3 linked regions of the Drosophila melanogaster genome follow. The protein of the gene in region 3 binds, or shares a complex with, the protein of the main gene of each other region. Each region holds a gene or a part of one and is shown on either strand. Other genes may lie near its edges. The genes, in order: msd1, dgt3 and dgt5.

The links.
Region 1: dgt5 (region 3) and msd1 share a complex: the UniProt entries of both Drosophila melanogaster proteins name them as parts of the augmin complex.
Region 2: dgt5 (region 3) and dgt3 share a complex: the UniProt entries of both Drosophila melanogaster proteins name them as parts of the augmin complex.

Annotation. Positions count from the first base shown.
Region 1 is NT_037436.4:1,329,797-1,332,875, forward strand, and holds msd1 (mitotic spindle density 1), read left to right. Parts: upstream 1-1,947; 5' UTR 1,948-1,985; coding exon 1,986-2,022; intron 2,023-2,077; coding exon 2,078-2,457; 3' UTR 2,458-2,530; downstream 2,531-3,079. Other genes in the region: ND-ACP (NADH dehydrogenase (ubiquinone) acyl carrier protein), read left to right, coding at 345-494, 1,067-1,153, 1,246-1,374, 1,484-1,663; msd5 (mitotic spindle density 5), read right to left, coding at 2,556-3,079. UniProt on the Drosophila melanogaster protein: As part of the augmin complex, plays a role in centrosome-independent generation of spindle microtubules.
Region 2 is NT_033778.4:20,992,539-20,996,293, reverse strand, and holds the start of dgt3 (dim gamma-tubulin 3), read left to right. Parts: upstream 1-1,912; 5' UTR 1,913-1,970; coding exon 1,971-1,988; intron 1,989-2,039; coding exon 2,040-2,368; intron 2,369-2,430; coding exon 2,431-2,793; intron 2,794-2,854; coding exon 2,855-3,520; intron 3,521-3,579; coding exon 3,580-3,755. Other genes in the region: Prosalpha3 (proteasome alpha3 subunit), read right to left, coding at 263-848, 986-1,191, 1,301-1,303. UniProt on the Drosophila melanogaster protein: As part of the augmin complex, plays a role in centrosome-independent generation of spindle microtubules. The complex is required for mitotic spindle assembly through its involvement in localizing gamma-tubulin to spindle microtubules.
Region 3 is NT_033778.4:12,469,586-12,473,340, reverse strand, and holds the start of dgt5 (dim gamma-tubulin 5), read left to right. Parts: upstream 1-1,565; 5' UTR 1,566-1,612; intron 1,613-1,618; exon of another isoform or gene 1,619-1,789; coding exon of another isoform or gene 1,790-3,397; intron 3,398-3,458; coding exon of another isoform or gene 3,459-3,755. Other genes in the region: Nepl10 (Neprilysin-like 10), read right to left, coding at 1-1,426; CG8545 (uncharacterized protein), read right to left, coding at 1,790-3,397, 3,459-3,755. UniProt on the Drosophila melanogaster protein: As part of the augmin complex, plays a role in centrosome-independent generation of spindle microtubules. The complex is required for mitotic spindle assembly through its involvement in localizing gamma-tubulin to spindle microtubules.

The sequences.
Region 1 (3,079 bases), on a different chromosome or scaffold from region 3:
TGCCCAACTCACAAAAGAAGATTTCAGCTAACGTTACTACTGAAATTCATGTGAATTAATATACCACTAACAATTATTTAACTGTAAATTATAGTTGGGAAAGTTACTTACTCATTATTCAAGTATTAAGTATTTTTAGTATTTATTTGCGTAAGTTGAGAAACAGCTTAGTACATTGCGCATACGGTCACACTGCTACCTTGCTGTCTTTTTCTTGCTCCAGCACTTTTACATAATCTTGAAAACTCAGCGTAAATATCGCCCAAAATACGAGACCTGCACTCGTGCACCGTCTGCAGAGATGCGATACTAACCCGCTGCGTTTCCGTTGCAGGAGAACCGAGATGTCGTTCACACAGATCGCGCGCAGCTGCAGTCGACTGGCGGCCACTTTGGCCCCAAGGAGGGTCGCCTCCGGCATTCTCATCCAATCACAGGCCTCCAGGATGATGCACAGGATCGCCGTGCCATCGATGACCAGCCAGTTGAGCCAAGTAAGCGAACGTCCAAAGCGGTCCCTTCCGTTGCAGGAGCCCCAATCGCAGTTGAGGACCTAACCTCATCGCAAACGGCGGGGTTTCGTGATCTACGAGTTTCAAAACATTCAATTAAGTGCTTGCAATCATGAACGCAACAGAAGATCCTCGCCATGTGGCCGTCGAACCACCCAATTCGATTGCATCACATTATTTTGCATAAAACATGATTGTTTCCCTATCGCACACACACACACATACACCTGCAACACCGGTGCTCGCACTTGTGTGCGGTTGATTGTACTACAGTGAAAATCCTCTAGAAGTGACCTTAAAATGTAGCGGTTTTAAAACATGTGATTTCAGTTTGTTAAATATCTAAATATGTTTCCACGCCAATCCAAGCAATAGTTTTCGCGGTATTTAATCAGTTGATCATACACCATCGAACCACCCTCGTTTAAATTGCGTATATATTTACACTGCTCATTGAAGAATTAGCTAAGTTGTATGCACCATAAGTCGTAGATGAACTACCAATGCAATTATTCATATAGAGACGAAAATTCACTAGACATTAACATTCGCAGAAGTTCGGTGTGCGCAGCTACTCGGCCAAGAGCACCATCGAGGACATCAAGTTCCGCGTGCTAAAGGTTGTCTCCGCCTACGACAAAGTGACCGCCGAAAAGGTAAAGTACCCATTGCATGGCGCCACTAATCCGGTCTTTGTTTCCTTCCTTTTTTTCTCGGGCCGGCCAAAAACCAGGAGTGCCGTGGTCGCTGGCAAACGCAATTGGTGCGCAGATACTCGGCGAAACCGCCGCTCTCGCTGAAGCTGATCAATGAGCGCGTCTTGCTTGTGCTCAAGCTCTACGACAAGATCGATCCCAGCAAGGTAAACGCCACATATTGCCTTTGCCAGTGCAATGGTCGCCTCAGAAATCAGAACTGAACAAAGCTGATGAAACCTTTGAATACCCAATGCTAATGGCTCGCATTTACAGCTCAACGTTGAGTCGCACTTCATCAACGACTTGGGACTGGATTCCTTGGACCACGTGGAGGTCATCATGGCCATGGAGGACGAGTTCGGTTTCGAGATCCCCGACTCTGATGCCGAGAAGCTGCTTAAACCTGCCGACATTATTAAGTACGTCGCCGACAAGGAGGATGTGTACGAGTAAATTGTAATTGTAATGCAAGCCATTGAACGGATTACACTTAAATTTAAATAGAAAACAAGTCAAATACAATTTGATCAACTGAATAAACCAAACGTTAAATTAACTTGTAGTCAGCAATTGTACACGAGGGCTATAATTAACTGCGGAATAGCAGCTAATAAATTAACTATCCAAATAAATAAACGAGTCATTTAGTACTGGCGGTTAAATTTAAATTTCGATAGAAACGTTGGTCTTTCGATTGTTTTAGAAAGCCTTGTGTATTTTAGATACGCAGCGACGGTCACGTTAATCTGCTAGCATTACAAACAGAATATTCGAAATGTCAGACGCTGTGGACAAAATGTTGGCGGGAATGGGTAAATATATCTTTAAACCACCGACACGCGTTCTATTCCGTGCTTCCAATTTCAGCGGCCAATCGGCAGACCATGAACCGCCAGCTGGCTAAGATAGACGAGATAATGGAGCGGTCGAACAACACATTGCTCCACATCGAGTCCAACAGCAAGGCATTCAGTCAGAATGTGGCTTTGTCGGAGACCCAGAAGATGTACAACCTCAGGCCGGAGGCTGAGATGACCCTGTCCAAGATCCTGGAGAACTTCAAGCTGCTCATGTCTAGCAGTGACCAGCGGGAGGAGACATACAGCGCTCTGGAGGGCTGCCTGGCCTACAGGCATCGCGTGGAGCACCTTGGCAGCTCCGTGCGTAAGCTGGTGGCGCTCTACGACACCGTGGGCCAGATGAAGAACTCACAGGAAGAGCAGTATGCCAGCGAGGATTCCCCCTAGCTCATCCATTTTTAGAATTTATTATTATGTTATAGTTGAAAAATAATTTAAATAAATTAAACATTTGATTTGTATTTAAAGCTCTTTAAGCGAGGTTTTCAAATCATGGCCATATTGTAGCTGCTGACTTGGAGAAGCGTATAGGTAAGCACCTCTACGAACATCTCCAGGCGAGCGGCAAGACTCCCGGTGGCGAGTATCTCATTGGGATTGGGCAGCTGGAGGCTGTTGGAGCGCAGGTAGTTGAGCTGTTCCATATTGGCGGCTATGGTCAGAAGCTTCTCCTGCTGCTCGGATGTAAAAGCATCTGGCGGAGACTCACCGCCGGTTGGCATGAGCTTTTCCAGCTGCTGCGCAAATCCATGGAGCTGCGTCAGCTTCTGCTTGTATATGGATTCTGTGGTGTCCAGAGCGGCTGCCTCGTCGTAGATCTTGGCCAGCTTTCGCTGGAAACCCTTAAAATCATTGTACACGTCCACGGCACTGCGCTGCTCCTCCAGACGCGTCAGACTCAGCGAAACGTTGGATGTGTTGATGCCCATGGCCACCGACTCGTCTGCTCCTCGCAGGAGCGTTGAGTTGGTACGTTGTAGCTCCCGCTTCTTGGGCATTTTCTGCAGGT
Region 2 (3,755 bases), 8.5 Mb from region 3:
TTATAACAGCAACAGCAAATAAAAAGCGACGGAATTTTTCTCAAAATGTTTTGTACGGTATTTTTTTAGTGACTGCCCGTCGCTGGCCATATTTAGCAGCTCTTCGCTGCGAATGGCAATGGCACTGTTATCGATTAATCGGCCATCCCTATTGGCACAATGATAGTGGGTTTTTGTTTTTTGAAATTTTATTTCACACACTCCGTACATCGGTTACAAAAATCAGGATAGACCCTTAATCAATAATAATGCATCCTTGGGATTACTTGGTCGGCTGCTTCGCTTGCTTCTCCTTCTTGGCAGCCTCGGCCTCCGCCTGTACCTTTGTGTACTTCTCGATCAGCTTCTCCACATCGGGTTTCTCCAGGACACTGTATACGGTCTTATTGTCCACACGCTGCAGCGTGGCCATCTCGACCTTCTCCGGGGTCAGCTTGGTGGTGTCCAGGGTCATGCTCAGTACCTTGATGGCCAAATCCTTGGCGTCCGCCAGCGTCAGCTTCACGTTCTCCTTATCGGCCAGCTCCTGCTTCAGCATGGAGATCGCGGCACCGAAGTTGTTGCCAATACAGGTGGCCTTCCATCCGCCGTAGTTGCCGCTGGGATCCGACTGGTACAGTTGGTAGCCGTACTTGTTGTCCCATCCCATGTAGAGCAGCGAGACGCCGAAGGGACGCTTTCCGCCGTACTGAGTGTACGCCTGTTTGATGTCGCAGAGGTGCGACACCAGCTGCTCGCAGGGAATCACCTCGCCGTAGCTGAACTGGTAACGCTGGGCAATCAGACGCAGTTCTGAGGTCAGCACATTGGCATCGGAGGTGATGCCAGCCACCGAGCAGACCATGTTGCTGAGGGAAAACAAAGAGGCTTGGATAGAGATAGATTCGTAGAGAATGTAGTGGGTAATTAAGATCATGGCCAGTTAAATATATGGCCTGTGACCCTTGAATTCATCGTAGGATATACTACTGAAATTTCAACTCACTCGTTCAGGCGATAGATCTTCTCCGAAGGAATGGCGCTGTCCAGCAATTTGTTTGTGCTGCGGCACTCGGCTGCCAACAGGATGCCGTCCTCGGCGAGGATTCCGAGGCAGGTTCCGGCGTGCGAGATGGCCTCCATGGCGTACTCCACCTGGTACAAACGGCCCTCCGGCGAGAAGATCGTGGTGCGGGAATCATAGCGGCGAGCCTGGGAAAATACACGCAAGTCAATTACTACCACGATTGCTAGCCTTCAATGGTCATCGGCCCAATGGTGGCTCTCAGACCAATACCGGTCTTCTGGGCGCGGTACTTACCATTGCTAAGGAATATACCAATTTACAAGTTTATTTTGCAAAACGAACAGAATTTACTTGTCATTCAGTGTAGGGTTGCCAGACTGCCACACGAAGTGCGTCCAAAGCGGTACCAGGGCTGCAAACTAGATGGCGTTAGGGTGTTTCTATTTACCAGGGGTGGTGTGCACGTTTATCCACATATCGATATAAGGTATTAAAATCATTTTAACAAAGATCAATTTATAAGCCCTTTAAGATTGAGGTGTACTAAAACATAATATTTACTTGAATTAAACTTAAGAACTTGTGTCAAATTTAGAAAAATTGTATCCTTACTTCATAGCAAAAATTTAAAATAATTCATATATAAAATATATATATATAATAAACAGAAATTTATTATATATATATATATATATATATATATATTATATATATTATATATATATATATATATATATATATATATTATATATATTATATATATATATATTTAACAGAAATAGATAAGAGTAAATATTTCATGAAATCGTTGATAGGAAATCAGGAATTTCTACGATTTTTATTAAGCTTAATTATTAAGCACTATTTCCTGTTAATTTTCAAAAGGTACCATCTCTAGTAACGTCTCTGAAACCTTTCGATATAACCGATAAGTAATCAGCTTGTGTTGTCATTTTTTTAAAAGATGGGCGATCTGCTGAGCGTATGTGTGATGATTTAATTAATGATCAGCTTATAATCGCCATGATTGCAGAACTCGGAATTCTTCAAGAAGCTGGGAGTGGACAGCTCGAACCAGTGGATTCTGTACGATGAGCAGATGGAGATGTTCTTCAAGTTCCTGTCCGGGAACATCACGGATGCAAATATCCTCACAGAGCGACAGGTTCTGGAGCGGGAGGAGATGCAGCGGCGGGGCGAGTGGCTAAGTGCTTCGGATCGCGAGCTCAAGCTCCTGCAAATCGAGGCCGAAAGTCCGGGGCTTCTCAACTACAAGCAGCAGGATGTCGACGCCTTGACCATGAGCATTGAGGCGATCGAAGATGCCTCAAGGGATTATGCTACGCTTCTGGAAGATATGATGTAAGGGAAAAACTGTAACCTTCCTCATATATGTTCGATCGATGGTCAATCCACTTTTGCAGGACCACAAAGCACTCGATAACTAAGCACCTAGGCGAGGTGGAGTGCGTCACCGCCGAGTTGCAACTGAGGGAGAAGGATCTGATAGCCGAGTGCCAGTCCAAAGCCAAGCAACTGGAGGAACTGCAGCAGGAGAACTGCCGGCTAAGCGCCGAAGCCAAAAAGGCATTCACCGCCCCACAGTTGCCGCCTCTATTCATGCATCAACTGCCATTGGAGCAGTATTTCCACAAATGCGATTCATTTATGCAATACTTTACTCTGTATGTGAAGGAGAATTTTAAGATCCAGGACTATGATGAGTTCCAGAGCGCGGAGGAAGATCTTGGGCGCGAAAAGGCCAAGCTGGAGGACTTGGAACGTGGGTAAGCACAAAGGTTCTGTGCTAAAAACAATGCACATTAATTGATATGACCGTTTTTACAGCATCCAGTTTTATGCACTATCCTACATAAGAACAAAGGCCAAGGTGAAGGCCACGCAGTGTCTTATTGACCAGTTGGATCTTGGCAAGATTCACTGCCTCAGTTTAACGGACATGGCGCGTGAAATGCACGATCTGCAGCTGCTCAACGACTATCAACTGAGCAATACACACGATACGCTTTTAAACGATCTAACCATTCACATTCAGCAGCACACCCAGCGACGTATTGAGCTGGTTCTCTACGAGAACACTAAACTGAAGTTGGAAAGAGCTGTTCGACGTCATGAAAGCGACAAGAAGCTCACTAAAATCATCTCAGATGCTCTGTCCAATGCGGAATTGCTGTGGATTGCGATCCAACTGGACTGCGACAAGAAGCGCAACTGCCTGGACACTTCGGAGGAGTTGCGCGACCAAGCGCAGGCCACTTGGCAAAGAATCCAGACCATGCGCTCCATTAACGCCAGTTATCAGGGCATTTGTGCCCAGTTTGTGCAGGAGATTGCCAATTTGTTGTCAGCCCACTTGGGACAGAACATAAAGGCAACTGAGGCCAAGGCTTGTCTCTTCGAATACGAAAAGTTCGGTCGCCTGCTGTCTTACTCCTTTCAGAGCATGCTGAACCGAAAGTCGTGTGCTGCTGTTCAGGATCAACTGGCAGAACTGTAAGTTGCAATACTTAACTTTGATACAGATCGTTTAAGCTATTAATATTTTTTTTTAGCAAGCGCTTGGAGCAGACTTTGCGGCCGTTTGTCTATGATTCCCCATTGGAGCAGCCCATGTTTGAGAACGTTCGCTACTTGAGCGCCATATACAATGTCACCCAGCAGCAAACTCGCCTGGATGAGTCAGGGCGTTCCTTGCGAAAAGATTTCCTGGAAAATGTCGTGGGGCGCA
Region 3 (3,755 bases):
GGCCCAGGACTGCGCCCAGAAGACTGTGCTGGAAGATGGTGTGCTCTCGGTGATCGAACAAGGGCCACTGCAAAAATTCCATGGGAACAGTAATGGTGTTCCTTTCGTTCTCATAGAAGGGAGAAGTGCGAGCCTTCCTTACGTTATCGTTGACATAATAGTGCCGCAGATCCACTCGAGAATTCCTTGCAAGCAGTCCAGCATTCTGGAGACGGGTACGTAGGGCAAATGCTTCAAGGAGATTGGCCAGGAAGTTTGTCGCGGAAAAGTTCGCACTTCCATAGTGGTTATTATAGAACTCAGGAGATTTCTCCTCAGGCAAATTTCCTATTTTGATCTGAATACCTTCCAACTTTGCTCTTACATAGGCCAACTGGTTTGGCGTAAGCTGCAGGCGATTGGCATCTAAATATTGGCCAAAAGCTGCCTTTAAAGTGGATAAAATCTCCAGTACCTTACTGGTATCCTCCTCCCGGTTTTGGTATATAAATCGATCATAGATGTAGTTCATGCCCAGGGGTAAATAGGCACGCATATGGTGAATGCAGCTTCTTGGATTCCGCTCCCTTGGCTCCGACTCCTCCACTAAAACATATTGGCGTGCTCGAATGTACGTGTCCTTCGGCTCACTGGCGAAATCCCGTAGACAGCGAAAACATTCCCGCAAATACTCAACATCACTCACCTCGAAAGTCAGGTGATAAAGCTCCTCGGTGTGGTTCACGCCCAATAACTCAATAAAAAAGGAATGCGGAATAGGGATTTCCTGCCTTAATTCACTGAAACTCCATGTATATACAACAGGATATTCTGCACGATACTTATCCTGCAGCTGATGCATTTTCTCCACCAGTTTAACCACTCCCATCGAGTACCACGCTTCTTCGTAAAGGCGCATGAGCTGCAAGACACGGCGGTCACTATATCTATCAGCCGGGTCAGGCATCCTTAACTGAATAACCCAACGCATGGAATCATTGGCGGCCACATCAACTCGCTCATCAATGAATACACCATTCAAGCCGTATACGAGAAATTTTTTAGGATGCAAAATCCACTGATTGACCAGTTCTTCGGGACGAGGATTCCCGTGAAGCTTTCGCGTATCCTCCTTGCAGGCCTTGTAGTATTGTCGCATTTGCTTTATCAGTCGGGGTGCCAGTGTATCGTTTTCACCCAAGTGGCTCTCCATGAATTCCACCATGGCAGTGGCGAACTGATCCTCGACTCGCTCAAAGTTGTCCACATATTTAGAGGCACTGGAGAAGCGACCGCAGGCAAAATTCCAGAAATTCGTGCACGGTGATGTTGTTCTATTGAGATTATTGTGAATATCGTTCGACGTTGCCACGTTGATGTCCACTATTGCCTGGATGGGAATGAATAATGCCACCAGGCAAGAGCACAGTAAAAGTAAACATCCCATTAAGCTCGCTCGATTCACAATGAAACAACAGATTATCGCAACGCTCTGCTGAGCTCGGCCACCTTCGAACTACCTATAGAGCTTTGGGGCTGATAGTGACAGCTTGGTCAATACTAGAATTCACATTTGAAATGTAGAGCAATTACCTCTAATGAAATGTGCCTGCCACCTATATAAACCCGCTTGGTGAGTACATTAAACCGATCTTAACGTTTATTGAATCTTAATTACACCGCTGTTGTAGTTCAATCTTCAATCGTTCGCTAAGACAGTTCGCAATATAAAATTGGTAATCGCGTCGGGACTACCCCAACTATATGTCACACGCTTATAGTCTACTTAACAAAACTGGATCTAAGGTGTTCACTTCTTGAACTTTTGCTTCTTTCCCGCATTCGCACCCGCCGTGGACTTTTTCAGCTGGCCGATCTGTTTGGATTTTTGCTTCAGCTTGTTCTGCTTCTTGATGGGTTTTCCCTCGAGAATGGGCACATCGTCGATATCCACTCGCGGCGCCTTGGCCAGTTTGGCGTTTCCCTTGGGCGACTGTTTTCCTTTCGGCTGTGGCTTCGTTTTCGTTTCCTTAATTGCTGATTTGCTAGGGGAGTTTGTGCCATTGGTTGTTGGCTTATTGTCATCTGGTTTAGCTGGTGATCCGGCTCCATTTTCCTTGGGTTGCGATCCTTTGTTCTTTTTATTGAATGATTTCGCATCTGAATTGGAAACAGTGGTTTTCCCATTGGTTTGTTTTTGTTTAGGTGCAGACTTGGAAGGTGACTCGCTTGAATTTGTTTGCTTGTCCGGTGCCTGGGATTTCTCATTTTTCTTCTCTGCTGGCTTTTCTGGCTTTGGCTTTTTGACAGGCTGCTCAAACACCTTGGCCACATACTTGGTCTTGCTCTCTTCCCGCTTCTTTTTCTTCAGTTCCTGTTCGATTTCGGTGAAACTGGGTTTTCCGGCGCGCTTTCCAAGCAGTTTTCGGGGACCCTTCTCCTTTGACGCTACCTCCTCCTCCACCTCCTCAGACTCCGCAGCCGCTTCTGTAGTGGCGTCCGCTTCGATGGCCTCATCCAGCTGCTTTTCATCCTCCTCCTGCTGCTCCTTAGTTATGGGTATGGTGTTGGAGAATTTCTTGAGCTTGGCCACGTAGAACCCGTCCATGTTGTGGGTGTGCGGATAGTAGCGCTTGGTAAGGTTTAAGCTAGGATGGAACCGATGCTGACGGAATTTGGTAAAGCCCTCCACGCCGAAGTCCAGACCAGTGGGCACAAGTTTGACATTTCGCTTCTTCAGTGCATAGTCGATGACCCATTCGTTCTCCTCGGGCAACACCGAACAAGTTGAGTATACAATGTAGCCGCCAGTTGATGACTTCGCATCCGTACAATCTATGGCAGTCAGCAGAAGCTTCCTCTGCAGGTTGTAGCACCTTTGTACATCTACTTCCGACTTGGTGGTCTTCACACTGGGATCCTTAGAGACGACGCCAGTTCCAGTGCACGGAGCATCCAGCAGGACACGGTCAAAGCCAGTCATAATATTCCGGAACTTAGTGCCATCCTCGCAGCTGACCACTGCATTTACAATTCCCAGGCGATGGAAATTGGCAACAATGGCCTTGATGCGATCCCTGTTAGAATCGTTGGCGAAGAGCACACCAGTGTTCTTCATGATGCTTGCGATGTGGGATCCCTTTCCACCTGGGGCGGAGCACATGTCCAGGATGCGTTCGTTCTCTTGCGGGGCGAGTGCCATTACAGGCAACAGCGAAGAGGCGCCCTGGATCATGTAGTGGCCAGCCAGATACTCTGGAGTTGCACCCAGTGGCACCTGTGAGTTAAAGACAACCAATCCAACTTTCGTCCATTTACCAAGGGGATCCAAGTTGACGCCACGATTGATCAGAGCTCCGGCCAAATCCCTACGACGTGTTTTTAGAGTATTGGTGCGTATGGTTAGGGGACGAGCAATCTAAAGGGGTTAATTTTTAATGATTAATCTTGTAACTATATTTTTTATGAAATATACTAACCTCTGAGGCCTCCAGATATTCCATTAGCTCTGTCAGCGGCAACATATCCATCAGCTTCTCCATCAAAAATTCGTTGTAGCTGTAATACAAACACAGATCCCTGCGCAGCAAATCGATGTACTCCCCGCGAGACCTATCCGCTTGACGATACCTTTTGAAGTCGGAAAGAACCAGACTGACGTCCTTTATGCGCTGTTGCACTTCCTGCAGGGTTAGGTCCTTCTCGGTTTCTTCGCCTTCGACGGGTAGCTGGAAAACATCCTGCTTGTCAACGGTTTCCAACATTTCGTCGTCGGC